3 linked regions of the Arabidopsis thaliana genome follow. The protein of the gene in region 1 interacts with the protein of each later gene in a pairwise test. Each region holds a gene or a part of one and is shown on either strand. Other genes may lie near its edges. The genes, in order: AT3G18960, AT2G24700 and BIM2.

The links.
Region 2: the proteins of AT3G18960 (region 1) and AT2G24700 interact in binary tests that used the Arabidopsis thaliana proteins (3 or more experiments, as listed by UniProt).
Region 3: the proteins of AT3G18960 (region 1) and BIM2 interact in binary tests that used the Arabidopsis thaliana proteins (3 or more experiments, as listed by UniProt).

The regions. Positions count from the first base shown.
Region 1 is NC_003074.8:6,538,603-6,547,944, forward strand, and holds AT3G18960 (AP2/B3-like transcriptional factor family protein), read left to right. Parts: upstream 1-3,853; 5' UTR 3,854-4,015; coding exon 4,016-4,147; intron 4,148-4,335; exon of another isoform or gene 4,336-4,379; coding exon of another isoform or gene 4,380-4,400; coding exon 4,401-4,827; coding exon of another isoform or gene 4,828-4,853; exon of another isoform or gene 4,854-4,895; coding exon 4,896-4,966; 3' UTR 4,967-5,074; downstream 5,075-9,342. Other genes in the region: AT3G18957 (uncharacterized protein), read right to left, coding at 2,933-3,026, 3,147-3,205; MEF20 (mitochondrial editing factor 20), read right to left, coding at 5,097-6,515; ETP1 (EIN2 targeting protein1), read left to right, coding at 7,912-9,159.
Region 2 is NC_003071.7:10,508,389-10,519,080, reverse strand, and holds AT2G24700 (Transcriptional factor B3 family protein), read left to right. Parts: upstream 1-3,669; 5' UTR 3,670-3,792; coding exon 3,793-3,870; intron 3,871-3,945; coding exon 3,946-4,225; intron 4,226-4,300; coding exon 4,301-4,437; intron 4,438-4,531; coding exon 4,532-4,799; intron 4,800-4,866; coding exon 4,867-4,976; intron 4,977-5,064; coding exon 5,065-5,329; intron 5,330-5,413; coding exon 5,414-5,700; intron 5,701-5,789; coding exon 5,790-6,032; 3' UTR 6,033-6,197; downstream 6,198-10,692. Other genes in the region: GLR2.3 (glutamate receptor 2.3), read left to right, coding at 1-847, 932-1,244, 1,340-1,746, 1,818-2,201; AT2G24696 (transcriptional factor B3 family protein), read left to right, coding at 8,179-8,251, 8,571-8,695, 8,803-8,976, 9,070-9,135, 9,225-9,662, 9,762-10,013.
Region 3 is NC_003070.9:25,940,029-25,950,669, forward strand, and holds BIM2 (BES1-interacting Myc-like protein 2), read left to right. Parts: upstream 1-1,600; 5' UTR 1,601-1,775; coding exon 1,776-1,881; intron 1,882-2,051; coding exon 2,052-2,136; intron 2,137-2,397; coding exon 2,398-2,467; intron 2,468-2,550; coding exon 2,551-2,646; intron 2,647-2,782; coding exon 2,783-3,144; intron 3,145-3,271; coding exon 3,272-3,401; intron 3,402-3,484; coding exon 3,485-3,571; 3' UTR 3,572-3,920; coding exon of another isoform or gene 3,921-4,119; 3' UTR 4,120-4,215; downstream 4,216-10,641. Other genes in the region: MGP3 (male gametophyte defective 3), read right to left, coding at 1-727; AT1G69020 (Prolyl oligopeptidase family protein), read right to left, coding at 3,921-4,119, 4,216-4,409, 4,498-4,714, 4,831-5,255, 5,384-5,503, 5,592-5,933, 6,027-6,171, 6,263-6,485 and 2 more; AT1G69030 (BSD domain-containing protein), read right to left, coding at 7,401-7,442, 7,538-7,602, 7,689-7,873, 8,359-8,456, 8,588-8,694, 8,778-9,234. UniProt on the Arabidopsis thaliana protein: Positive brassinosteroid-signaling protein.

The sequences.
Region 1 (9,342 bases):
GTTTCATTGTATTAAATCATTTTATTTATATCTTATTTTATGGAATTTTAATACTCAGCTTTTGTTATTTTACCATTAATCTTTTACAAGAGAAAAATGGAATTGAAGACTTGTAATACTTACGTTTATAGGTTGATTTGTTGAAAAGAAAGAAGTCGTTGAAAAATGGGATGCTAAAACTTTTATGGTGTTTTCATGAACTTATGTGAAAAGTTTCACTTTCGTGGGATTAAGAAGTTTGGTGCACATTTATACATGTATGAATGCGCATTGACATCCAAACACTCCCTTATTATTTCTAATAAATTTTAAATTAATAATAGATCTTGGTTTCAAGATATTAATTACAAGTACAGTATCAGACAAATTTGTTTTTCCAGAAGTATAAATACAATCAGTTGTTCTTGCCGTATGATTGGTTGCATTAGTATTCGCTCTGAAAATATGACCATTGTTAGTCATGACTCGTAAGTCTAAGTAATAAATTGTAACATTTTTTTTTTTTTTTTTTGTAACATTACCTTATATGATTACAGAAAGAAACAAAATTCATGGACGAATGTACGAGAATGTGAACAGATTATTATTTAGAGGCTAATAAATGGTCCTATAGACTATAGTATACAAATGATCAATGACTAAACCTATAAGGCTATAACCAATACTCGTTGCTTTTGCAAAAAAATCCAAAAAACTGATAAACCACATCAAACCTATAAACCTAAACAAAGTACCACATAGATAGATCATGTATAGCTAGCTAAATGAGAGACCTCATGAGTTTTTGGGTTATTTCATATTGATCTAGTAGGAAAACTAATTAATAAGAAATTTATATAAGATGAAATATGTTCGTATGTTAGGTTGATTTGTTGGTTCAGACGTTCAGTTTGTTGGAAAAAGAATTAGCCACTGGAAAAACGGAGAGGATTGTAATATTCTATTTTTTTGTCTTCAAGAACGTAAGTAAAAAGTCTTCTTTTTCGTTGGATATATGTATTGCTATTTCTACACATTGACATTTGACATATAGACATGCACACACCACCCTTCTGTTCATATTTTCAAATAGCACGAAAAGCTGATAAATCTTGATCTATTAAGCAATTTAGAAGTTTAAGAGTTTGGTTAATTAGTTCTAAATTGTAAAATTCATAATGATAATTTTAATGACAATGAAGTTCCTAAATTTAAGTAGTAGAAATATGCTTTGATTCGTAGAAAAGAATCTCTGTAGATTGCTTTTATGTGTATTAACCCAACTATATTAACAATGACGATGTCTACAGATTTTCACTATAAAATTTTATTTGTCATTTTTAGTGTGTGTTTTTTTTTGTTCTCACGAGCATTTGCAGTTTAGTATTATAAAATATTTGACTGAAAGATTGTTATGTTTTGTACCCAAACAATAATATTTTTATATATAATTAAATCTATTCCGACAATTTTTTTTTGTCTAATCTATTTTTTAGGTTTAAGACTATCAGTTTGTAGAACAGTTGTTTCACGACTAAGTAAGAAAGGTGCATATATATAGCGACTCATCAATACATAAAGATGATTTACTTTCATGAATAGTAATCTAAATCCCAAAAGGAAATCGATTAGAGGCTCGGACTTTGGTTAATAGGAAAACATTTTTGAAAGACACATTGACATTCGGTTCAAATCCGGTTTCCACGCGCCGTTTATATAACTAAACGCAACATATATCTGAAAATAATTTGAATTGGGTATGGTCTCTGTGTTTTTCTCTTAATTAAGGATACAACAACAAACAACGACGTTAATTATTGTGCGCCACAGTAGTTAGGCAAATCCCCAGTAGTTTCTTGTTCATTTGAATTTAATTAATTAAGAATGATTAAACCCATAATCTTGACTATTTTATTATTCAATGCTATAATTGTTATATATATGGTAGACTATTATATATAGGTCTTGTTAAGTTAATCATAAATTTTCATAACTCACAGCCTCAAAAATATTAGGATATTTATAGTTTTGTCTTGAGGATTAATGTAACCGACCTTAGCTCAGTTGGTAGAGCGGAAGACTGTAGGCGTTGCAGATAATCTTTAGGTCGCTGGTTCGATTCCGGCAGGTCGGATTTTTTTTTTTTCTTTTTTTCTTTTCAACTTTAAAGATAAAACCCAGCCCATATTAAGGCTTTTAGTTCAAAAAACCTAGAGCAGCCGTTTATAATTAAATAAAATCAATAAATGACTCCACATGCAAGATTCTCATTTGAGACAGAAACTCTCCAAAGCGGCACAGCTTCAGCGGCGATTTGGAGACCCAAAAGCTAAGTGGCATTGGGCCAAACACAACCGAAGCCTATTTGTTCAAAACACAACCGAAGCCTATTTGTTCAAAACACAACCGAAGCCTATTTGTTCAAAACACAACCGAAGCCTATTTGTTCAAAACACAACCGAACAAAAAAAACTAAAATGTTAAAAAGAAAGCTTCAAGGCAACTTCCTCAAAAGGAGAAAGCTTCAAGGCAAATTCCCCAAAAGATTTAGCTGACTATCAGGTTTGAATGTTTATAATATGATGTAGAAAGCTCAACCTAATGCATCTAGCATAAATAAGGACATCACTTAATCCAAAACCTTCAAAGAGATGGAATAATAATCAAAATAAAAACTTATAAGCCTAAACAAATATTCGAAAATTCATTTTAAAACATGGGAACCTTCTTAGGATATTTTGTGCCTGGTCTCTCACTTGCACTTCTCGGTCTCTGGCATGTAATCAATACCATACAATCTTACTCTCTAAATTCCCCAAACCAAAATTTCACCTCATGATTCTGGTTCCCTTTCCCGTATAACAAAAAACTCAAACATCTCGAGCTCATCGTCATTATCATTGTTACTTTCTTATCCATTTTCCTCCTAAACTCAGATTTCCCTTTCCTTAAATTATCGTCTTTCAAACCGGAAATCAAACACATCTGCATAGTCTTCCAACTCATTTCGTTTGCGTCTTCCACTCTCATCTTTGACGTAATAAATCCTCCCGATAAGGATATATACCGGTTTCATCGGGCTTCATGCAACATTGGTTTTCATGCAAGAAGTACTCTTCTTTCTTGATTCTCACTCCACTGATCACTTAGGTCTTGAAGGCCAGTACCATGTCCTCCTCGAATTCGCTGCCTTCGTCTCCTTCTCTTCAGCTCTTGCGTCGACCATTTACCCTAAATCTTTTTATGCGTCTCTTGTGTTCTCGGCCTCGCTCATGTTTCAAGGATGCTGGTTCTTGAACATGGGGTTAATGTTTTTAGATCCAAATTATGTCCATATAGGGGTTGCTTGAGAACCACGACCGATACACCAAGAAGTAACAACAGTACTATTGTTGATCATAGTGGGCTGGTTTGAGAGTCTCCTTGTACAGAAATTATGGCACAAGCGTTAGCGAATCTTCAGTTTAGCTGGATTTTATCAGCTATATTGATTTTTACATTTGTATTCTCTCTCAAAAGTTTCGGGGAAAGTCGCCGTGTTTCCCAATTGCCGGTCGTCAACGTTAGAATACGAACGTAATTTTCGACGAGGAGGTGATCGTTCTACTGTCGTGGAAGCCTCGACGAATCCTTTTCGAGAATATATTTCGTCTCGTTTATATTAATGTTGTAATAGTATAGAAAATATATTTTGTTATCGGTAGGTAAGCTTTTACTATTTGATGTAACTAGCCTTTGATTGTTATGACATGTAGCAACGAATTATACATTGGTTATTGATAAAAGCGTATTTCCATGATATTTTTTTTAATTTATATACAAGGTTTATACTGGTATAACTTCAATAATGGTAAGACTTATCTTTTGACTAGAGAACTGTATAAAATGAGTCTTGGAAAACGACATAGAGTTAAAGCAACTTTGTCACTCTTGTCAGATAAAAACTTATCGGTTTCTCTTTTCCGGCTTTAACTCTCCACTCATCACTCTCCACTCTCAATTTTCACCTTCTCTTCTCTGAACAAGGCAAACAAAAATGGTTACAACCCAAAACACGAAGGCCAGAGTCACCTCCGTCTCTCACCGCCGATCACAGCAAGATCCTGAGTCGCCGGTGAAGAAGTTCTTCAAGTTGGTCTTACCTTCAACGATGAAGGATAAGATGATGGTAATTACTTAACACTTAGAAAAAACTTGAAATAAAGTGTTTGCATGTGTGTTGTTATCCCTGTTTCAATTTCTAGGGACTATATCTGAAGATTCACTAAACAGTGTCCATTTCTTTTGTTTTATCTTGGACTAGAGATCTAAAAGGGATACACTAATCTGATCATTTGTTCTTAAGAAATGTAGAGAATTTAAGATCTGACATTTTGTTACTTGTTTCTGAAAATCTCATTATGTTGAATAACTTTGAGCAGAAGATTCCGCCAAGATTCGTGAAGCTACAAGGGTCTAAACTCTCAGAGGTTGTTACATTAGAGACTCCTGCGGGTTTCAAGCGTTCCATTAAGCTCAAACGGATCGGTGAAGAGATTTGGTTCCATGAGGGTTGGAGTGAGTTTGCAGAGGCTCATTCCATCGAGGAAGGCCACTTTCTCTTGTTCGAATACAAGGAGAATTCGAGTTTCCGTGTAATAATCTTCAATGTTTCGGCTTGCGAGACCAAATATCCACTGGATGCAGTTCATATCATTGACAGCGACGATGATATAATCGATATTACAGGCAAAGAGTTTGTTGGAACTCAAGGTACAAGGAAGAATAATCAATCTGTTAATGGTGGTGATACAGAGCACAAATCCAAGAAGAGATCAAGAGACATCGAACTTGACAAGATTCTACACGGTAAGAAGACTTTGTTCTTAATATAGATTAAGAAGATTGGGATCTGAATATTTTTAATCTATGTGTAGATCTTGATGTGATGAATCCAATGCATGTGCTTAAAGAAGAAGAAGAAGACAAGAGAGTCTTCAGGGGATAACAGAGCTTTTAACAGAACCGAGACCTGCAAGTTTATTTGTTGTGTAATGTTAATTAATGACTTGATGAAACTAAAAAACTTTCATTGCAAAATGAGTAGTGTTTTGAATCCTGACCTGTAACAAGCTATGTTAAACAAAACTGTAACCAGGTCTTGTTTTGATTCTTCTTTCTTTCATCTCCTTCCTCAGCTTCTCTACCTCTACCCATTTCCCTTTATGAGCTAACACATTCGATAAAGCGACATAATCTTCGCACTCAGAACCCGAAAGCTTCTCGTCCTCTCGTTCTATCTCGAGAAGAGCCTTTCCGATCTCTTCACCCATTACAGTCTCTCCATAAATGCTGCAGGCATTGCAGAGGCTTCTTAACAAGATAGCGTCAGGCTTTATAGGCATAGCTAATATAAACTGATAAGCCTCTTGTATCCGCCCTGCCTTACCAAGAAGATCTACTATGCAACCATAGTGTTCGATAACCGGTGTGACACCAAATCTTGTCTTCATGCTCTTGAACAGCTCGATTCCTTCTTCAACAAGACCTATATGACGATAAGCCGAAAGCAAGCTAGTGAAAGTTATTTCGTTTGGTTTGATCCCAGATTCCGCCATTCGGTTTAGAAGATTCGGTGTTTCGTTTCCTCTACCGTTGAGAGCTAGCCCCGTTGCCATTGAAGTCCATGTAAAGACATTTTTCACTTTCATTAGCTCGAACACGGAGAATGCGTTGTTCAAGCAGCCGCATTTTGAGTACATGTCGACAAGTGCAGTACCGATAAAGACATCAACTTCGGGTGTGAACCCGAGCTTTTCTATGTAACCATGAACGAGAGAACCAATTTCGAGCAAACCCGTCTGAGAAATGGCTGAAAGAACACAAACCATGGTTGTATCAGTAGGTCTAACTCCACTACCACAGCAAGAGAATCTCCTAAACAAAACCATAGCCTTTCTCGCATTGTGATTGCCTTTATCCTTATGTGAACAATATCCACCTATCATTGCGTTCCATGTAACAGAGGTTCTCTCAGGCATTTCGTCAAACACCTTCCTTGCATAACGTAAATCTCCATTCTTAGCGTAGAAATGGAGTAAAGTGGTTCCAATCAATTCAGATTCATATAGAAAGCCAAGCTTTTTCACCATCCCATGAACAATTCTACCAACCCGTAACGCCGACGACGAAGCTGACCTAGCACAAGCGCCAAGGACGAAGACAAAAGTGCGCTCATTGAGATAAAGCAACGAACTTTTTGATGCATAATTGGCAAAAATCCGAATCGAGTCCTCTGGTTTGCTACATTTAAGCAATGTGTTGAAGAGAAACTTATCAGGATGACCAAATCGAGGAAACACTAGTAAATGAGCAAGCTTTGAGCTGCTTTCGGTTGATGGCTTTGAACAGTAATGGCCTATGAGTTTGCCAAATAGAGAATTATCATGGCAGCCATTGATGACTAATTGAGCATGGATTTGCTTAGCTTGAATTAGGGTTTTCGAATTCTGTTGCAACAAGGACAAAAATCTTGGTCCTGGAAAAACAGAGCTCATAAGCACCAAACTCTGATACTGTAATGGATTAAGGCAAAGAGAAGGAGAAACAAAAGCTAAGAGATAAAATAAATATCGAAGAATCTACAGCACAAACCCATCTTCATCATAATCATCATCATGGCTACAAGTACCAAATTTGATGGAGATTAGGTATTTACAGACTTCTTCTTAAACCCTAACTTTGTTTGTTCTACTCAAACAATTTGAGTTCCACTCAAGAGGTTATATATAATGAGGTAAAAACAACTTATCCACATCGATAACACAAAGTAAACCCGAGAGAAAAAACGAGACACTGACGCAATAACGACACAGACCAGAAGAGAGTTTTTTTAGTTGTTTTTAAATTAAGATACTCCTACACTGTAAATCCCTTTCTAGTGAGAGCTAGCTACTACCACTGGATTCAGTCTTCAACAAATTATCATATCCTCAAGCGCATCATCACAACAAACACTTGTCATACTAGACAAACACTCCAATAAGCTTCTGTCACGTGTCCCTTATATTCCTCCACTCCACTCCACTTTTGCCCATGTCATTCATTGCGCATCTCTGTTTTCCTATAACAAATCTCCCGTATTTGAGAAATCTTTACCTCAAGGTAGTTTGAGACAGATGATAAAACATCTAATTTGCTAATTTCAAAAATTACATGGACTATGGTGTCGCCTATGCGATGTCTACTGCTTCATTGATCAACCTCAAAAGCTAATCCGAAAATTATGAACAAAATTCTAACAACATAGAACAGAAACATACAGCTCTCTCTATATCATTTGATCAGATAATCTCAACGAACCCACCTCAGATTATACAAAAGCAAAAAAAACACTAGAGATTCTTTCGCTGACAATCCATACGCTTTTTAAACTATTGATCCCTCCAGAACTGTATCCGATATTCACAGATTTTGCCTTGATTTTGGAAGGCGGAGGAGGATAGACCGGTACGGATGTCGGTGAAAAAAACTTGGAATCGTTATCGTGTTGGCCAGGTGGTTTTTTTTTTTTTACACGTCAGCATATTTGGCCGGTCCTACTTATCTAAAGTACAGTAATAATGTCATACACGTCAGCGTAAACTGATAGATCTTCCTTGGACAAAATCTACTTCCGATAATGTTGATTCCCTTCTGTCTGAATTCTCTCTAGTGTAAAAAATATTCTCTTGAATCCTTGGTTTTCCATAGCGTGTGTGTATTGATTTACAAATATAGAATCTACAGAAAACAAGATTGAGGGTGCAAAAATGAAAATATATTCAGAATTGAGGGAGCAATTTGTTACATTTCCTCTTTCCAGTCTATGTATATATCTCGCAAGAGGAAAGCTGAAGAAAAGCAAAACCCTAGAAAATAAATAATATTCCGTGGCGCCTGCGGCAGAGATCAATGACGATACCGGATCTCTGTAACGATTTGGTCGATGAGATACTCTGTCGCGTTCCGGCGAGGAATCTGAAACGGTTACGATCTACCAGCAAACGATGGAACCGTTTATTCAAAGATGATAGGAGATTCGCAAGAGAGCACATGCATAAAGCCCCAAAGGAGTATCTACCTCTCATGTTGACAAGCGAGTACAGGATCTGTCCGGTGAGCATCAATCTCCAAGGAGATGTTCCTTCTGTAGTGTTAAAGAGAGAGCTTAGCCTACCAGATCCGGATTATTCACATCAATTCGATATAGGTCGAGTCTTTCACTGCGACGGCTTATTGGTATGCAACCACGTAGGCAAGAATCCCCGATACGGATCTAAAATCGTGGTTTGGAACCCGCTGACTGGTCAAACCAGGTGGATCGAAGCCGGCTATCGTTGGAAGGAATACGAAGTCAGATTTGTTCTCGGATACTGCTACCAGCAAGACGAGAACAATTCCTGCAGTAAAAAAATCTACAAAATTTTGTGTTTTTATCCTAATGGCCAAGATACAGAAATCTACGAGCTTAACTACTCTGATAGGTGGACAAGGACGATTCCTGATGGTGATCTCACTCCAGGCTGGACCTTGATATACTCAGAGCAGACCGTGTCTATGAATGGAAATCTTTACTTGTTTGCTTCGGAGAAATCAAAACCCCATCTTGGCGTGTCCTTGCTCAGATTTGATTTCTCAACAGAGAAATCATCTCTATGTGTGACTCTTCCCTATCAGCGTCCAAGGTATGAAATTTTGAGTATTTCCGCCGTTAGAGGAGGAGAGAATCTTTCTCTGTTGTTGCAGCTCGATTTTGAATCTAAGACTGAGATATGGGTGACGAATAAGATTGATGACACCACCACCAAAGGAGCAGCAGTCTCTTGGACCAAGGTCCTAGCATTTGATTTAAGCCCTGATCTTCAATTATTTTCGGAGGAGGTAAATTTTTTGCTTGACGAGGATAAGAAAGTCGCTGTGTGTTGTGAGAGATGGTTGGAACCGCAAGAGCACCACAGGTACCAGTGCAGGAGAGAGTACAAGATCACCGACAAGATATACATTCTCGGGGAGGATAATAAAGTCGATGAAGTAGGTTCTGGAGAGGGAGAGGCTACAGATTCACTTGAAGGAATTTCGCAAGTTATTCTCAATTACGCTCCAAGTTTGGTCCAAATCGAGCAAGCCGGAGGAGGCAAAACAAAAAGAGGTGACGACTAAAACAACCTCTACATGTAATATTAGTTTTTTGTGTTTTTCTTAATTTATTTTTGTCATATTTTTTGAATAATCCCCTGATCGAGCGACCTGGAAGTAGAAGAGGCCCTTAAATTTTCTTGTTCATGTTCTTTGAATAATCCTTTGAACTGATATCTCAATAAGATTGTAATATTGTAGTTGTCC
Region 2 (10,692 bases), on another chromosome or scaffold:
GGAACCAGGATATGTCTGGATCCTTACCAATGGAGTTATCGATGACTTAAGTTTGATAAATGAGACGGCTGTTGAGGCTATGGAGGGGGTATTGGGTATTAAAACTTATATTCCAAAATCCCCAGATCTTGAGAAGTTTAGATCTCGATGGAGAAGTTTATTCCCACGGGTGGAGCTGAGTGTCTATGGTCTGTGGGCTTATGATGCTACCACCGCACTAGCGGTAGCCATTGAAGAAGCTGGAACAAATAACATGACTTTCAGTAAAGTGGTGGATACAGGGAGGAATGTTTCTGAACTTGAAGCTCTTGGTTTATCTCAGTTCGGTCCAAAGCTTCTCCAAACACTCTTAACAGTTCAGTTCAGAGGACTTGCAGGAGAGTTTCGTTTTTTCCGCGGGCAACTGCAACCATCGGTGTTTGAGATTGTCAATATAATCAATACCGGAGAAAAATCAATAGGATTTTGGAAGGAGGGAAATGGTCTTGTGAAGAAACTTGATCAGCAAGCAAGTAGCATAAGCGCTTTATCTACTTGGAAAGATCATCTTAAACACATTGTATGGCCTGGAGAGGCGGATTCTGTTCCGAAAGGATGGCAGATCCCGACTAAGGGGAAGAAGTTGCGTATTGGAGTTCCCAAAAGAACCGGCTACACTGATCTTGTGAAAGTCACAAGGGATCCTATTACCAATTCAACTGTAGTCACAGGTTTTTGCATAGATTTCTTTGAGGCTGTGATTCGAGAACTGCCTTATGACGTCTCATATGAGTTCATACCTTTCGAAAAACCCGACGGAAAAACAGCCGGTAATTACAACGACTTGGTCTACCAAGTGTACCTCGGGGTGAGTATGAGCACATACTAATCATTCATCAATATAGCATTTATAACTATACTAAGTGAACTCTTATTTGCTTCTCTGTCACAGAGATATGATGCGGTTGTGGGAGATACAACCATATTGGTGAACAGGTCTTCTTACGTCGACTTCACATTCCCATTTATTAAATCAGGTGTCGGATTGATCGTTGAAATGACAGACCCAGTAAAGAGAGACTATATACTTTTCATGAAACCTTTGTCATGGAAACTATGGTTGACTTCCTTTATCTCTTTCTTCCTTGTCGGTTGTACTGTATGGGTTCTCGAATATAAGCGTAATCCGGACTTTAGTGGACCGCCTAGATTCCAAGCTAGTACCATCTGTTGGTTTGCCTTCTCTACCATGGTTTTTGCTCCAAGTACATTTAATCTCCCCTCTCTACATGTCAGCATATATATGTTCCTATATATCATGCACCTTGCTTGATTCTTATTCTCGATTCCCTGTCTGCAGGAGAAAGAGTATTTAGCTTTTGGGCGAGGGCCCTGGTTATCGCATGGTACTTTCTCGTTCTCGTGTTAACCCAGAGTTACACAGCGAGTTTGGCATCGCTTTTGACATCACAGAAATTAAATCCAACAATAACCAGCATGAGTAGTTTGCTTGAAAAAGGAGAAACAGTGGGTTATCAGCGAACATCCTTCATCCTTGGAAAGCTTAAAGAAAGAGGTTTCCCGCAATCTAGCCTTGTGCCCTTTGATACTGCAGAAGAATGTGATGAGCTTCTAAGTAAAGGACCAAAAAAAGGTGGTGTCTCTGGAGCTTTCTTGGAAATACCTTACTTGAGACTCTTTCTTGGACAGTTTTGCAACACATACAAAATGGTTGAAGAACCCTTCAATGTTGATGGATTCGGCTTTGTAAGTTCCTATATCAAAACTTATGTGAAAATTGCATTAAATGGTGAGAGATCATAAGTCCTTTTTCGCAGGTTTTTCCAATCGGATCACCTCTAGTGGCCGATGTTTCAAGGGCCATCTTAAAAGTAGCAGAGTCTCCAAAGGCAATGGAGCTCGAGCGTGCATGGTTCAAGAAGAAAGAACAAAGCTGTCCTGATCCAATTACTAATCCAGATCCAAATCCCTCTTTCACCTCTAGGCAGCTTGACATAGACAGTTTCTTGTTTCTGTTTGTTGGCGTGTTACTTGTGTGTGTTATGGCACTCGGAAATTTCACATATTGTTTCCTAGCGAAAGACCAGGTTTCGTACCTCGATAAGGTAGAGATGAGTCCGTGTTCATCAAGTCAACAAATGCCTGTCAAGAGGAAGACACAATTAAATATGTCTCAAGTTCATGACCAAGACAGTCTTTAATTTAACAAAAAAACATATGCTATTATTATACCAAACTATTGTACTTTTTTTTTCTTTTGAATGAAGAATTGTACTTTATTTTGTAAATAAGGATTTTCAGAAACAAATGACCCATTTAAGAGAGACTATCAAAGTTACAATAGAGGTAGATTTTATTACGTGTTATGCAAGACATTAAACCTAATGCTATAAATTCTTATGTGCTAACGACTAGTAGCATATTAACTTATCTGGAATTAGGGTTATACTTTTTCTTTTTTGGGTTATACTTATATGCAGTTAATATAATCTAAAGAAATTTTCACGTTTATGCTGAAAAAAAGATGTGGTCTCAGCGCAAAGTGAGATGTGGATTTCATAGTTTGACAATTAAGACATTTTAACATAGAAGTAGAAAATAGAAAGAATAAATATTAGAAACGAAAATAATTTGGATAATTGTAGTAATAGTGTTAGTTTAACCACTTTTTAATATACTTAAATGCATTCAAATGCAAATCTATTATTGTAGTAGGACAAAACCAAGTACAGGTGAATAACTGGATATATTGGTTTATTAAGATACAATTGTGTTTGTCCTGCTCTGCTTTATATCCGTAACTCCTCTGTTCTTCCATTCAGACCCAATACATATTGGTTTTCACTGGAAAAGGAGACAATAGATGGAACTGTTCACAAACAAAAGAAAAGATGGATATTTTGGTGCGTTGCGCTTTGTACTTTGTAGTGATTAGTTTGGATTTTTTCTTTTTTTGCTTTGTGGGGAATAAAGAGATAGCCTAGATGCACGTGATACGTATTCCTACAGTGCTACTGAATACTGATGTACAAATAGTTCCCTCTCGTGATTTTTGTTTGTGGTTTCAAGAGAAATGTTGCTTACATTGAAGATTGAACACACTATTATTTTAAGCCTTTTTTGCGTGTACTTAAAATATTCTTTTACATTGTTAAAAATACAAAACGTTTTTCAGTTTTACAATAAACTCACTTTTTGAAAAATATAAACGTAAATGCAAACAAAGAATCGAATTCTTATTCTTTTTGACAAAAACGAATCCACAACGTAACTAACTAATTTACTGTCAAAACCATATGATATTTTGATAGCAAACATGAATGTTTTCACTTCCTAAGATTTAATTTCTTGTAAACTATTTTTACATTATTATGGTACCTACGTGTTGAATTAAGCATATTTAGTTTCAGATCTTTTTCTTCTTCTTTTTTTCTTTCTTTTGGTTAAAGACCAATGTCTTCTCAAGATTTATTTTTCTCGTTCATTGATATTTGCTAAGTTTATTTGATGAATATTTTCCATAACCAATCAGAGTCTTTATGTTCAATCCCAACACTATTCTCAGTCAAAACTTGTTTTTTTCGAAAACAATATATAGTCTTTGGAAAAAGCTGATAAAGGTCTTTTTTAACATTGCTTTATAGAAAAAGCTGAGAAAGTTTCTTTGACGTTTTGTATAGAAAGCTGAGAAAGGTTATTTTTTTACATTACAGAAGTAAGGGATACAAAGTTGTTAGTTCATCTTCTCTCCGCTCAGAAGAAGAAAAACTTAAAAAAATTCAACGTCTGAATATGGCTAATCCACTTCTCTATTCTCCGATCAACCCACAATTCTTCCAACCACTTCTTCCCGGTTTCACCAACCACCTGGTACTCTGTTTCTCTATACTCTCTCCGACCAGTTAAGTTACTTCTGTTTGTAACTCATCTAGCATGCTGTTTCAGGACATTCCTGTGGCGTTCTTCTTGAAGTACTTAGTGGGAACTAACGTAGGAAAAACGGCTGAGCTCAGATCAGATGCATCGGAGATGACATGGAAAGTGAAGATAGACGGCCGGAGACTCTCTAATGGTTGGGAAGATTTCACAATCGCACATGATCTCCGAGTTGGTGACATTGTTGTTTTCAGACAAGAAGGAGAGTTAGTGTTCCATGTCACAGCTTTAGGACCAAGTTGCTGTGAGATTCAATACGGAGAAGATACCCTTGAAGAGGATAAAATTGGTAACCTTAGTTTCATATTAAATATCATTAGCACATTTAGAATGAGTCTAAGAATATTACTTAATCTATCAACAGAGAAACTTTGTGGTACGGAGAATGTTTCAAGTAAGAAAAAGAGTCTAAAGAGAGAAGCTGAGTCTGCACCAGACAATTCACTAGATTCTTGTTTTGTGGCCACTGTCACGGGTTCGAATCTAAAGCGCGATACATTGGTATGTTACTTCCATATTACTCATTACAGTAATTTTTATGTTATTGTATATTCTTGATAACTCTATCTAACTTGGCTTGTGGCGGCATTTGCAGTATATTCCGAAAGAGTTTGCATTGTCAAATGGTCTGATGAACAAATATCAGATTGTGTTAATGAATGAAGAAGGAGAATCATGGAAGATAGACTTGAGACGCGAGGCATATAATTACGGCCGGTTTTACATGAGAAGAGGCTGGAGAAGTTTCTGTATTGCTAATGGGAAGAAACCTGGAGACGTTTTTGCATTCAAATTGGTCAAAAATGAAGAAACACCTATGATACAGTTGTTCCCTATGACCATTGAAGATTTAGACAAACTTCGTAAGTTAATTTTCATAATCCGTTGGTTATTGAGAAAAATCTCAATCAGATTCTATAATTGATACAGAGAGTCTTCCAAGACACAAGATTCGAAAAACAGAAGCAGCTCCTTCTTCACCGGACCTTTCTTCTTTTGTAGCCACTGTCACGGCTTCAAATCTAAGCCGAGATAGACTGGTTATGATACTCCTGACTTACATATATTGATTTTGATTTGACTGAGAGGTGTTTTAATGATATTCATGGTGACTGTACTTGACTGCAGTATCTTCCGAAGACGTTCATTATGTCAAATGGTTTGTTGAAGAAATTTCAGATGTGTCTAATGAATGAAGAGGGAGAATCATGGACGATAGATGTGAAACATGAGGCACATACAGGCCGGTTTTTAACGATAAGAGGTTGGAGAAGATTCTGTGTGGCTAATGGGAAGAAACCAGGAGACTTGCTCAAATTCAAATTAGTCCATAACGAAGAAACACCTGTGCTCCAGTTGTTACCCTTGAACAGTGAAGATCTACACAAACTTAGTAAGTTGTTTATGCTTTATTCTTTCAAGAAACAAAAATATTGAAATAAAATTGAATAACAAGAAGCACTTTCTTCCTCTGCAGATCCTAGCAATGACACAAGGCATGGACAGAGTTTAAAAGTTACCAAAAAAGAGTTTCTTGGCATGGAAGCCACAGAAAATGAGTTTCTTGGGGAAGAAGTTTACTGTAATGACTCCTTTAAAGCTAGCGAGAAAGATACTCTTCCTTTTGCTGAACCTATCAATGAAGATATAAGGCAAGGACAATGTTCACAAACTATTAAACAAGAATATGTTTCCACAGAAGAGAAAAACTCAACAAGCCAAAACCGATTTGTGACCTTAACACTTACACATTCAAGTAAACTTGTAAGTTTCACAAGAAAACTCTGTTTTTTTCTTGTTTTTTTTTTTCCACTTAATACTCTCGATATATAATCTGATGATGGTATCTACAGAATCTTCCGTTTGAATTCATGAAGCGGAATGGAATCAAAAAGGCGGGGAAGATAACGATGGTTGATAGATACGATGCAAAATGGCGTACTTCACTACTGATGGACAAGATCGGAACAATGAGTTTAGGAAGAGGTTCAAAAGGTTTCTGCGAGGTTAATGGTGTTGAGATGAATGAGTCGTTTATCTTGGAGTTGATTTGGGAAGACACAGTTCCTCTTCTTAAGTTTTGTTCCAAAGTTTGAGAACAATATTAAGAATGTCTAGGATCATCGCTCAAATAAACTTCTTTCCTTCTATGGTTTAATTTTCATGTTAAAAAATGCCGTTTAAATCATCATTAATTCAGATAATATTGGTTTACTAAACAAGAATCGTTAAAGATTTTATATAATTATTTTTGGGGGTCACTAAACATCTTGATTGTCGACACCAATCATAAACTTCATACTTCAGTATGTAGTAGAGATAGACTTCTAATTAAAGGGCTATCTGCTATACATGTAGCAAAAAATCAAAATTAACATCTTATACTGTATATCTTTTTTTATCATCATATATTTTTATCTTTATATTTTACTTTAAATGATGTGAAAATCATAGATAAAATATAGGAAAATGTAACTTATATTAAAGTGAAGAGTCATTTATATTAAAGTGAAGAGGAAGAAAACAGAAACAAGTTGTAAGATATTAAGCCATATATTGCAGAAACAAAAAATGGACAAAAATCCTTACTTATTTTACTATCAAATGATTTGATATTTCTTTGTATTTTGTTTAATGTGAAGAAAATCAAGGGAAAATCTCTCTCATTTATAGTAAAGTGAAGAGGAAAAAAACAGAAACAAATTGTAAGATATTATATCATAAATTGCAGACACAAAAATCCTTAATTATATTATTATCAAATGATTTGATCTTTCTTTGTATTTTATTTAATGTGAAGAAAATAAAGGGAAAATATAGGGAAAATCTCTCACATTTATAGTAAAGTGAAGAGGAAAAAAACAGAAACAAATTATAAGATATTATACCATAAACTGCCGACACAAAAACCGACAAAAATCCTTAATTATTTTATTATCAAATGATTTTATTTTATTTTAATGTGAAGAAAATAAAGATAAAATATAGGGAAAATATCTCTTGTTTTTCATATTAGAAAAATATATTTTAGAAATATGATGTAATGATATAAAAGAAAATCTAACAATAATGTATCATATATATATGGTATATTTCGGTTTGAAAAAATAACACATGTATAAAGAAAATTTTAATTTTCCGGGAAAATAGAGAAGAACGAGAAAGAGAGAAAGTTTGTTAAGCACTTTGCTCTCATACCATATTATTCATAATCAGAAAGTAAATTCTCATAATCGAATCATAATATTACAACTAGTATTTATAATACATGTGTATATAGCATTTTACTAAGCTAAAGGAGACTTAGTGTATTTCTATATACTTAGATGCTAATTTGAGAGGTCATGTTGTGGATTTTCATAGATTCTCATTAGATGAACCCTCAAAACTATTGTATAACATAACTATAATCGATGTAGAAAAAACAGAATCTATGACATACCACGAGAAGACCTACTTAAAAAAAATAAACGTTGAATGGAAAACTAATAAAAACTAGCTAGACCAATCTAAATTAAATTACAAACCCATATTTTATCTGACTTAACTTCTTAGCTTGTTAAAAACATTGTACGGGGGAACTTATCTAGTAAAAAAGAGTATTATCCATTAAATTAACTTCCTAAGAATAAAACCTTGACCATACCAAATTAAACTACAAACCCATGTCAACGATTATTATCCATCAAATTAACTTCTTAAGAATAAAAAGTTTTCTAAAAAACTCTTAGAAGCAAAAAAAACAAAAAAAAATAAATTTTACAAATCCAATAGCTTATCCGATTCAGCTTTTCAACCAATCTAAAAAGATATTAGTTTTGCGCGGGAGCTTAACCACTTAACAATAATCCGTCAATTTGGTTGAAATATTAATTTCTCTCATAAATAACCGTTAACAAATCATCTCATAAATTAAAGTTACATCTAGTAAAGAAAGGTGAATTTTAGAAGCCCCATAAAACAAAAAATTTAAAAAGTATAAGCAAAACCAAGGTTGGTCAAATTCCTTAACAAAATCATCAACTAGATTTAACTCATAATTATTTAGTCTACGTACGCGCCCATGTTTAAAAATTTCCCAAAAGTGCATGCTCTCTAAAAGGTAAAAGAAGATTCTTATCTGAACATTAGGTTTTTTTTCTTTGTTGGGTCTAAAATCATTTCGGACATTACACAGTTTCATCTCCGTCTCTTTTTCTCTCCGACCAGAATATCAAAATTAATTCTTCTCCACTGACAACGATGCTGTTCAACGTCAGCGCCTGTGACATCCGTGACAAACCCATGCCCAGCAACAATGATATCAACAAGATCGGTACGTTTTGTTCTGATGATTTTCGTTTTTAATCAACGAGCTATAGTCAGATCTGAGTTGAGAGAACAATCCTTTGAAGAAAGATTTCGAAAATCTGTACAAAAAAAAGCCTTGTTTGCATCTATATGAACGGAGATTTCTTACATGTTTTACACAAGTAAGAAGCATCAGCGTCTAAGGACAGAAGAAGGTCATGATGATCAAGACAAGACCGGTTTCATCATCACTTCCGTTCTATATTAGTTTGATGAGTTTTAAAAACATAAAGTTTTCGATCCGAAGATGGTTTTAACATGTGGGATTTGTTTATTTGACACAGATCAGCTTGAAAGAGTAAAAAAAGTGAGGAAGAACAGTTCACAATCCGAAGCTGGCTCTTCTTCATCTGGCAACTCTTCTTTTGTAGCCCTTGTCAAGGCTTCAAATCTAAAGGAAGATGCACTGGTACGTTTACTTAAATTGTTTAGCCCTTTTGTGAACCCCTTTGTTTTTGTGAACACTGGCACTGGCTCTTCTTCATCTGACAACACTTCTTTTGTGAACCCTTGCAGTATCTTCCACAAGATTGCACAAGTTCTAATGGTCTAAATAAAAAATGCCGCAAGATTTTTCTAACAGATGGAGGGGATAGATCATGGGAAATGGATCTGAAGTTCGACAAAAACTTAGATAGTTTTTGCATAACCAGAGGTTGGAGACATTTCTGTGACGAAAACGGGAAAAAGGTAGGAAGTTTTTTTGTGTTCGAACTAACGATAAAGGAGGAAACACCTTTGCTCTATTTTCCCCCCTCTCAATCTATTATCAAGTATAAAAAGTTACCAAACCAGGAGAGATTCGTGACTGTAAGACTCGTACCTGACTGTCTTAGAAACAAAAGATTGGTGAGTTTTTTTTTCATCAAGTAAAAACTCTTGTTTGTTTTATTGCAAGATAGTGTATTTCATTTAATTCACATTTCAAATACTTTCAGTATCTCTCAAGGCGATTCCTGAAAAATAATGGCTTGGGCGAACCAAAGATGGTAACACTAGTGGGAACAGATGGTACGAGGATATTGGCTAATCTTTTACGGGAAAGCACAGGAAGAATGAGCTTGGGAAGGGGATGGGTAGATTTTGCGAAAGCCAATAGGTTGAAGATAGGTGAGTACTTTACACTGGAGTCCATTTGGGAAAATGACTCTCCTATTCTCAGTTTGTATGGGACAAATACTTCCAAAAGTGATAAAAGGAAGCGTAGAGAGAACTTTCCAGTAGCTTGTGAGAAAGAGTATGTGTCCACTGAGGCTAGAAATAGAAATGAACCCGAGAAAGACAAGAACACAGAGGAGATGATTAATCAAGCATCACTAAGCGAAAACCGATTAGTGATAACACTCGTACCAGAAGATGTCAAAGCCGGTATGCTGGTAAGCTTATAAAATAAACCCTTGATTTAGAGATCAATATGTTTTTATATATCTTGAATTCTAATCAATAACAAGAAGTGTTTATCAAATATCTTGCAGCGTCTTCCAAGTCACTTCATGAAAGCTAATGGCATAGACAAAGTTGGAAAAATATATATGTTGGGTATAAATGAAATGGAGTGGTGGTGGGGAGATCTATTGACAAGAGATGGAATCGTATCTGTAGGATGTGGTTGGAGATATTTCTGTGAATCTAATGGCGTAAAGATTGGAAAGTCTTTCACCTTAGAATGTATGTACAAATATGACACAAGGCCCGTATTTAAATTCTGTCCCAAGTCCGGGAAATAAAAATAATGTTTGATTATAGTATGTTAAGATTTTCATGTCTTACTCTAATCCTTTTTGGTTGTTAAGTTGATGGAGTGTTTGTTGTTTAGTAAAAGATATATAACCAAAATGGTATTGTTTATGTTGTCTTCTATCAGAGACATAATTTTTTAGGACTGGCTTTGGTTCTAGTATATATATGTTTTTTAAGATTGATTTGCATTTTTTAGAGATAGAAGATACATTGGGATATTTTTATATCGGAGAGGATTCTCTGAACTTGACTAGATTCTTGAAGGATGCATCTATATATAATATCTTTTTGGATACGACTTTACATTTTCATACACTATTTCTTACTCTCCTTTTGTCATCACTAGGGCTGAGCATAATACTCGAACCTGAAGAACCGAATCGAATCTGACCCAAAAACGTAAACCCGTTCTACTTTGATTCTTGTTAAACCGATCGGGTTCTAATCTCAATAATTTCTGGTATCGGGCTTTACATGAACCAAACTCGATAGCCGTGATTTGGGATGTCAAGTTGGTTAAACCAAATCAAACCAATCCATATGGATTAGTATCTAATGGATAATTAATATACCCAATTCATTTAGCAAATAGTTTGGCTTAAACCATAACTCATTTAAGTTGTTGAATTAATGGATTAAATGAATTTATCCATTAAACAGTTTTCT
Region 3 (10,641 bases), on another chromosome or scaffold:
CATTCACTAGCTTAACAATGCCAACGCCTTCCGCATTAGTCATCAACAATCCCATCATCTTATGCATAGTGATAACAGCCATCTTATCAGCCGGTAACTGCTCCATAAAAGGCGCATACGGAATCTTCCCTTTCTTGATTTTAAAAGTATCAAGATCATCTTGAATAGCATTACGCACAGGCTCAAACCAGCCTAGAAACAAAGACTTCATATAAGGTAAATTCGGTGCAAGCTTCTGCTCACACATATCAGCTAGAATCTCTCTACACTCTCTCGCTGCTCTTTCCCATTCTTCAGTCTCCATTTTCACCTGTCTCTGCTTCAGCATATAGAACTTCTGTGCTCCCATTCCCGCAATGACTCTCTTTGGCGGTATAGCTGCAAGCCTAGCTTTTTTACGGATTCTCTCAGTTTCTTTCTCCATTTCCGTTATCAATTCATTAACTTCATCAGACCCAGAAGACTCATCTTCAGGATCAGTCGAATCAATAGCTTGCGCAGCTGTAGCATACCCTTCAAACACATAACATTGACCATGACGAAACGAGCTTAATCCACCCATTTCGTTGACTGGATTTATAGATAAACCATTTCTAACGCCACTGAGATTAACAGAAGACAGAATCCCACGGACTCTATTCACTGGATAATGAGTACCGGAGGAGCTAGAATCAGATAAAAACTTAACCTTTCTCAATGAAGCTCTTCCCAGAATGTTCCTCCACATTTTTTGAATCGTTTTTGTGATCGCCACGAAATGGTAATAGTGGCTGCTTCAGATAGTTTACTGCCTCCACGAGCACAATCTCGGGCTATGTAGCTACTTGATTTTGTAGAGTTATTAATACAAACATAGAAATCAAAGAGTTCAGATTCGAAGAACAGATTAAAAACAAGACTTGGGTGAAGAGAAGAGAGATCTGGAGAAAAGAGAAGGCGCCGTGAAGTACAAACACAGCCGCCGAAATAAACCCTTCATAAAACCTTTGGTTTCTGCTTCACATTTCATGGATCTTGTCAAACCCGACCCGCTTATCAGATCCGTTACGCTCTTATTTGGGCTCAAAGCCCATATTCTGGCACGAGTTATACATTACCATGATAAATATATACCTAATTAACATTACAACAACAAATCAGAGTGGCGCAGCGGAAGCGTGGTGGGCCCATAACCCACAGGTCCCAGGATCGAAACCTGGCTCTGATAGTATTGTTACTCTTTTTTTTTTTTTTGTAACTTTTGGGCTTAGCCCATGTCTGATAAATTCGAATAAGGTATAGTATTGTTTTGGAAACATAGGCATATGTTACTTCTTTTTTTCCTTTGTAAAGTTTGGGTTTGGCCCAAGTCTGATAATTCCATTCGGCCCTTTATAGTATTGTTTTGGAAACATAGCCATATGTCACCGTTCGATTAGAAACAAACATAGTACGTGAAAATTAACAGATCAGAAAGAGACCACGTGCATCACGTGACCACCTTAAATCTGATAGGTTAGAATCTCGTCTTATCACGTGAATCCCACGTGTCATCACAAGCTACGGTTCATTTAGAGGCCTAACCGGGTAATCACATCAAGTCGTACACGTCTCCAAATCACGAAACTGACGGACAAAAGCTCAAGTAAACTCACGTAGTCTCTCCCACAGCTAACTAGAACTCAGCCGAGTCACGAGGCACCCAAAAAACAAAAAACAAATAAGCAACAAAAAAGAGCTCGTCGACGGCAAAAGTTGAAAATAAAACAATAAACAGTCGAAATTCTCCGGCGAAGATGAGAACCGGAAAAGGAAATCAAGAGGAAGAAGATTACGGAGAAGAAGACTTTAACTCTAAACGTGAAGGTCCTTCTTCCAACACTACTGTTCATAGCAACAGAGGTAAATTGTTCGATTTGGGAGACTTTTGAATTTTTCTTAGTTGTTGTTTCGTCAATTTGTGTTTTGGTTGGAGCTATTGTTGATATGTATCGAGATGGATTTGAATAGTTTGGGATTAGATTTTTCTAAGTTTTGTCTCTGTGTGATTCGGTGTTTGATTTTGAAAGCAGATTCAAAGGAAAATGATAAAGCTAGTGCGATACGTTCTAAACATTCGGTCACTGAGCAACGTAGAAGAAGCAAAATCAATGAAAGGTATGTTGATATAAAGTGAGGATTTCAAACTTTTTGGATTGTTGTTTTTGTGAGAACTTGAGATTAGGAGTAAACGCGACATTCTTTGTTTTGATATCTGAATCAAAATTCAATTACTTTGCTAACAAAATCATAAGAATACTTAGGACTTGTGTTTGGGAATTTTGCTCTGCTTCAGTTTTGTGGTGTTTGATATAGGACTTAGTTACATTATAATTATTGTTCTTGTTCTGAGTGCTGAATTCATAAATCTCTTCTCAGATTTCAGATATTGAGAGAACTAATTCCCAACAGTGAACAAAAACGTGACACTGCTTCATTCCTTTTAGAGGTATGTCATGGTATTTGATGATGCTTTGTGCGAATATCCTGTCTTTTAGATGTTGTTAGCTTAATACCGCTATTCCATTCTAGGTGATAGATTATGTTCAGTATTTACAAGAGAAGGTGCAAAAGTATGAAGGATCGTATCCAGGTTGGAGTCAGGAACCAACAAAGTTGACGCCATGGGTAAAGTTTTGAGCTTCTTCTTATGTCGGTTTCTCAATGAGTTTCTGTGATTGTAGATTCTGAGTATGTTTTTGCACCCGCAAGGCTTTCTTTGTGTGACTTTTAGCTGAAGGTTATGTTTTCTTGATTGGAACAGAGGAATAATCATTGGCGAGTTCAAAGTTTGGGGAACCACCCAGTAGCTATAAATAATGGATCTGGTCCAGGGATACCTTTTCCTGGAAAGTTTGAAGACAACACTGTGACTTCGACACCTGCAATTATTGCAGAACCGCAAATCCCGATTGAATCTGACAAAGCAAGAGCTATAACCGGCATATCGATTGAAAGTCAACCTGAGTTAGACGACAAAGGATTACCACCACTACAACCAATTCTTCCAATGGTACAAGGCGAACAAGCTAATGAATGTCCTGCAACTAGTGATGGGCTAGGCCAAAGTAATGACCTGGTTATTGAAGGTGGAACCATTAGCATCTCTAGTGCCTACTCGCATGAGTGAGTCTGATCTTCTAAGTCTTCCTCGTTTCTGTTACTGTGCTGCCATTGATGTGTTCGCTTCTACCCTTTTTTTTTAACTGCATTGTGTACTAATCTTGTGAGACATTAATTCTGAAATGGCCAGGTTATTGAGCTCATTAACACAAGCACTCCAGAATGCAGGCATTGATCTGTCGCAAGCAAAGCTTTCTGTGCAGATCGATCTTGGGAAGCGAGCCAATCAAGGTCTAACTCATGAAGAGCCATCAAGTAAGGTAAATAGTTGGTTCGAAATGCTTCATACTTAGTTTTGTAACAATAGCCATATATCATGATGTTGATACATTTTTCTATACAGAATCCATTATCATATGATACGCAAGGAAGGGATTCAAGCGTTGAGGAAGAATCTGAACATTCTCACAAGCGGATGAAAACACTGTGACATTTCTCTCTCAGGCTCCACGGCGCTGGAATATATAAATGTATTGACAGATTCCTTGTATCGTGTACATTGTTCGGCTTCTAGGGGTTCCTATAGTACTCGTTAAGATAAACTTTGGTTAGTAGATTCTGCGTTTTTTTGTGGTTCTGAGTTTGTATCATCTTCTGCATCATTCATGTAACCTATCAAATATGATCTCTTGTGGTTTCAAGTTATTGCATCATTTTTTTCCGATTTGATCTTCCTTTTTTGTTGAGAGAGCGAGATCAAAGGCTAGCAATCTCTTAACCTTAAAGTGAAAGACTATTATAAAATCATTTGATGCTAAACCAAAGATGATGTGATGCTTTTATCTATTGTTGTGATGACCCATAACTTTGAGAAGAAAAGCATAATCAAAGGCAGTCTCTTCGCATTGAGCATAGCGACCACCTTCACCAAAATGCCCTCCGTTCATATTTGTTTTCAGAATCACAGCTCGGGAGCAGTCGTGGCACGTACTATCCCTTATCTTAGCCACCCATTTTGCACCTTCCCATACTCCAACCCTGACCCAATAACACACGCAAACTATGATCCAAAGATTCTTACTTAAAACAAAAAAGAGATATGGGTTTAAGGGTTCTTTTGTGAAGCTAGCTTGCCTTGAGTCATGAAACGAAGTAGTGACAAGCATGGACGGATAGCAAACATCTTTTCGTATCTTATCATATGGAGAATAGCTAAGGATCGATCCGAAGTCAGTTTGGTTGTCTGGGTTCCCGAATTCTTCATGGTCCAGGAGTGTGAGAGGTAAATTTGGATCCGATAATGTGTTTAATACATCTACAAAAGGAACCTGCCCAAATGGTACACACCTTAATGATTTGAGCTTTTGATTATTCTGGACACAACTTAATGCATTTGCTATGCCATAATATTCTTACCTTCAAAATCACAGCTTGAAATAGACTCGGGTGCATATTCATAGCTGCAGCTGGAAGAATAGCTCCTGCACTGTACCCAACAGCAGCAAGATGATGTCTATGCACATAGCCTTTTTCGACTAGATATTTAGCACTGTATATGAAATCTTGGATTGAATTTTGTTTCAACGATCTAGTTCCGGATTTGTGCCATGAAAACTCCCCACTGCCTCCTCCCCTGAGGCCAAAATAAAACTCTTATAGAAGCACATTCAAATCAACCACTATTATACCAAGTGATGTCAACTTGAAGCAAATGATAATTGAATGCTTTGGTTATGTTTAGTGACTGACCTCACATCAGCAAAAGCAATCACCCAACCACGATCAAGCATACTCAATCGATTTGTGCACCAGCTTTTGTCCAAAACTTCTCCATAAGCGCCATAACCTATCAACATTCCCGGTGACTCACTCTTCTTCCATGCTTCTCGTGAATACAGAATTGTAAGAGGGACTTCAACTCCGTCATGTGAAGAAACTTCTTGTCTTTCACAAACATATGTATCAGATAAGTCCTCCCATTTAGGCATTCGAGAATCTAACTGACCATCTTCTCCCTCGCTGGTTCTATCATTAAGTTGACCGTTATTCTCTGTAGAGCGATCTGCTGTGTACCATGGCTTACTACTATCAGAATTATCTACAACCCCTCCCTCCTGCTGCACAATTGAGAACAATCTTCTTGACACGTCATAGTCAACGATAGTGTCAGGAATCTGCAATTCCAACAATAACAGTAAGATATTCAGAGAAAGTATCAGAGTAGAAAGAAAAATTCAAATGCAAATAAACTATGTTATGGTTCAAAGCTAAAACAAATAGAGAAACCCGTTTCTTTATTTACCACAGGAGACGAAAGCACCACTCGGTATATAGAGCTCTGGAAGTCGTGGTTTGAACCAGGGGCAACACTGCATGAATCAACTGGAAGTGGAAAATACCAGGGAACAAGATCATCCATATGCTGCACAAATGAAACATACTTTAGTGAAAATGTATGAACGCAAAGCGACAGAGAAAAAACATACAACTGCAATACTAATCAGAAATACCTTCGTATTTGCTTTTATGGGCATATCAATGGAACAGAGCATAGGTAAGCCTTTCTTATTAAGATAAAGCACTAAGTAGTCATTGAACATGTCCATATCTTGTATAACCACATCATCATCTGGACGGAAAACAGTCTGCCAGTCAGATGCTTCAATTTCCTCTACTAAGCATCTAGTCAAATAGTAGCCTTCACCAGACCACTCACTAATTGCATTTGAGGGAGAATTTGTAAGAATGTAAAAGAACCCATTGTGATGTTCAAGAAAACACTGCACGCCAGGAACTCGTTCGCGAGTTCTTTGCAAACCAGCCATTGGCTTATCAGCATTTACAATATAAACCTGAAAACAAGATAACTCAGCTTGAGCCTAAAGTATATCGATGATAGACACTAAGAAAACAAAAACAAAAATGCAGTTGAAAGAGGTAAATTCCTCGGATGAAGTCCTTGAGTTTGAATTGATAGTAACAAACTTGCCATCTTTTGTGGTCGTTATGTCTACACAGAAACTGGAATCTCTTTCGGTAAACACTACGGCATCATCTCTCCCATCTGATTCAACATTTGTGACAACAACCCTGCAAAAACTAGTCGCAGTTGAACAAACACTCTCCAAGTTTAATAAAATTAAAAAGCTATCTATCTACTAGTATGAGTCACTGTATTTGCCTGTGAGGTCTTTGGTTTTCATCTGTAACAGTGTAAAACAAGGTGATTCCATCTAAAGCCCATGCCAAGCTAACAACTCCATCAACTTCCAACCTCGGAACTAACCGATCAGTTCTTAAATCCTTAATCTGGAGAATGAAACGCTCACCTCCTTCGGGATCAACCGTGTACGCCAGATAGTTATGATCAGGTGAAACCCGACAAACTCCAACATGAACATAACCTGAAGTAGTACACATAACACTTGCTTAGAGACTGACGATGACTCTAAAACTAACAATGAAACATTATACTAAAGGAATGAACTTTTACCAAACTGCTCTGCAATTTGATTCCAGTCAAGCACAACTTCTTCTTCTTCTCCACGAAAAAGACCAGAGAGCCAATTTGTTTTACCCTTCTCCAATCTCCTACATAGAAGAGGATACTCTTTTCCTTTGGGTATGTATTGTCTATATAACCTGCTCAATAGACAACTTAAACCAAATCAATCAAAAAGCTCACTCCTTTATACTCGTATCAGAGAAAGTTACAAGATTAGAGAGATGAACCATTGTCCCCAACGCTCAGGAGGAGTGAAAATCTCTTCTGGAATACGAGTTTTCATCTCGGAGAATAAATCACGCCTCAGGGTTTCTGTGTCAGCCATGAAAGCTTGAGAGTATGAGTTCTCACGCTTGAGGAAGTCGACGAAATCGGTGTCGTCCGTATTCTTCATCCAATGGAAAGGATCTTGTCTTGTGATCCCATGAGATGAGATTGCGAATGGGATCTTCTTTGGAACCGGAGGAGCTTCCGTTGGAACAGAGAGTGATGATGTTCGTCCAACAAAACATTTCGTCGAGAAAGACAAAACTGATGATATTGTCGCCGGCTTGTAACGCCGGAGAAGATATGTTACTGCCATTAGCAAACTTTAACCTCTCCAGCGACTAATATTTATGTCAAAGTTTCGCTTTTTAGGATAATTTTGTAATCAAAGTCTGTTTTTTTATAATTTGCGAATTCGAATGAATAAAATGTGTCTTCATCTTTTGCATCAAAAGCTATACACTGAATCACTGATGATGAAACAGATCATATACCATCCTCATTTACTTCCCAACAATTGGGTATGTAACAAAACTTAATAATATTTCTAATTTTTTGCTGCATTTGATTCTTTCTCTTCCTCAACATCCTGCAAACACGTGAAGGCAGATTTGGATTAAACCAAGATGTTCTGTTGTTGTATGTTTTAAAGAACTGAGAGAATAATCAAACGTTTTCACTTACAGAGTTGCCAATCTTGTCAAAGTCATCATCACCCAGGCTTCCTCCATCATCACCATCACCATCATCTGCAAGTTTTACGATTATACAGACAAAATCAGGATTTAAGTCATAGCTAAAACTTGGGAAGCTACATCAAGTCAAGGTGTCTCACCAGGAGCTTCGTCACTGTCTTCTAGATCTCCCAGCAGGAATGTATCGAGATCTTGCTCAGACGATGCAGTAGATATTCTGTTCTTTTCAGCTGATTCTGTCCTTCCAAGCCCTGGACTCTTCTTAGCTTCTTCATCTTTACTCTCTGCTTTGTTCCTAAGTTCCTCCATGTACTTCCTTTCATATCTGATTCAAAACAAATCCTTTCCGCTTAATTCATGCAGCTATCAAGTCTCATAAGAATGAAAGACAAGGGTGCTCAATTCACTAATCACTTCTCAGAAATACACAAACAACTAAGGTGTCAAGATCTTCTATATGTTTTCAGTCATGTTCCTTTGTTTTTTATATTCTCATTTGTGAGTTACATGGTTTTCCGAGATATACTGGACCAAGCTAGAGGCAGAATAGATGATTTGCAGCCACAAGAGAATTCACTAAGACTGTCTCTGGATCAAATCCGTGCTGATAAGGTATAATCCATTTCCCATATAATTACGTATGGTTTCATTTTACCAAACTTAAGCTGCAGTGATTAAGCTATGAGACTACCTAGTCATACAAATATAGAGATCTTAAGCTATCTTTACCACCTCCTATGCGCTTAATGCAATTCTCAGTCTAGTGTCGATAACATTTTCAGACTTTGAGAAGAGATGGTAGATCCTTACGGTGCAACATGAGTGCTCACTAAGGTAAAGTATATCCTCCAGAACCTCCTTTCTTTCATAACTCGTGGGCATAGTTCATATCTCAACTTCGAAATTTGCTGCAACATACACAAAATGCAAAATCAAACAATGTAGCACAGAAGAGATGAATCTATAACTAAACCAATTATGCAAGATCAGCTTCTCCAACTAATCAAACTAATTCCAATCTCAAATTCGAAAAATCTACCTTGACAGAACCAAGAACAAGAGTGGCATGTCTCTCCTGCCACTCAGAAAGATCCTTCCGAACATTCGACGCACTTGTTTCCAAATCAGAAACTTCCGACGATTCATCTAATCCACATTTACCATAACACATTTCAAATCCTCAATTCCAAAACAAAGATAAAGCAACAACAACAACAAAACAACAATACCTTGTTCAGGAAAAGCCTGGAACGTAGCAGATGTCAAACCTTTAACAAACTCTCTCAAATCATCAGTAATACCAAAACTAACAAGCTCAGATTCAGAAATCTCAGAACCACCACCACCAGATCCTGATCCTCCTAATCCTCCAGGTATAATGTCGGCAATCGATTTTATATTCTGGATCTGATCAGCTTGTTTCAATGCTACGACTTTGAGCTGATCCGCTTTCGTTGAAACCTCAGCAGCGAATTCCTTTGACTTCTTCGCCGTCTCGGCGACGAACTCGGAGACATTGATCGAATCAGCTTTCTTAGAAGCTTCGAGAGCGAACTCTTTGGATTTTTTAGCGGTTTCGGTGACGAGATTGACGAATGTTGTTGAAGATGATTGTAGTGTTATGGTTTGTGATTTCTTCGCTGCTTCTTCTGCAAACGATTTCGCTCTCTTCCATAGATCTTCCATTTTTTTCTCGGTGTGTTGATTTTTTTTCTTTCGGATCTGTTATTTTTGCGTTACTGACGAAATTAAAGGTAACGTTACGGCAAACGCGGAGGGAAACTTCTGAGTCACGCAGAGGTGTTTGACTTTTAAGAGTTTATTGGTCGCACCATTCCTAGTTTCCTATTGGCCAATGGATAATTTTGTTTTCGTTTGAAAATATGGGTTATAATTTTAAATATGAAATGTTTCAAGTTTAAGAAAAGAAGTATTCACATAAAATAAGTGTTTGAAACAAAGTGAAAGTGTGAAATACTTGACACCATAATTAAGTCCATAACTCTACCAATTTTTATTTTTAAAGTTAGGTTTAGACTTACATCATAACAACATTTTATATCCACTACAATAATCTTATGATAACTATATTGTGTTGCAGATTTTGGTACTAGGAACGCCAAATAATCGATAAAACCAGCACAACTAGACCTCAAATTTGCTAACACATGGTATTTGTGAATCTTCTACAGTACAATAGAAAACGAAACAACTGTTTTTGCCAATAACTATAGTACGCTTTTACTATATTTGAGCAGGAGAACAACAAGAAGAACAAAACTAGTTATGATTTTCAGCAAAAAGACCATAAAAAGAAATAATATGGTTTGGGGAAAAAAAGAAGAAGAGATAGATCGATGGAGAGTGATAGGTACGAAAGAATATATGGTTGGGGTGTTGTCGAACTCAAATCTTTGTATGCAGCCAGAGACCACTCTCTGCCCCCGACGGGACCACTCCTTCGCCAAACTATATTATTATTTGTATTGATAATATCATGTTAATTCGTGTAATCGTAATAATGAATTAACCTACTATAGACACAAGTATAGACTAAATAAAGTTGAATCGAGGTTAAATAAAGTGGCCTGTGGGTGAGGCTGATAGGTACGTGGACCATTTTGGTAGATTTTGGTGAATAGATCGAGCCAAGTTGCCCATCTCTTTGGAGATTTATCCAAATCTTTTCTGATTGTTACGTTTTTGTTAATTTATACTTCAATATATAGCAGTCGTAGCTTGTCGATCGTTCCAATATAATCTACTTTTCATACTCTTTTTGTCTGAATGCCTGTATGTATTGAGATATTTGGTTTCAGATAACGTAAAAATATTTGTATTTATTACAAAATGATAGATCTATTTTAGTTTCCAGTTTTACAATATTGATAGTTTGATTTTGCAATAGTAGTTTGTACTATAAAGCCTATTATTGCAAAGGTGGACAATAATAGGTTAAGTAAAGCTAGGAGATTCATACAAACTATAATTTAAGGAACATTTGTAGAAATATCATCTATGTTACTTTGTTAAGAAATTTGATAACTAATATTTTTGACCATTTTAAAATTACATGTTTGCTAAAAACTGCAT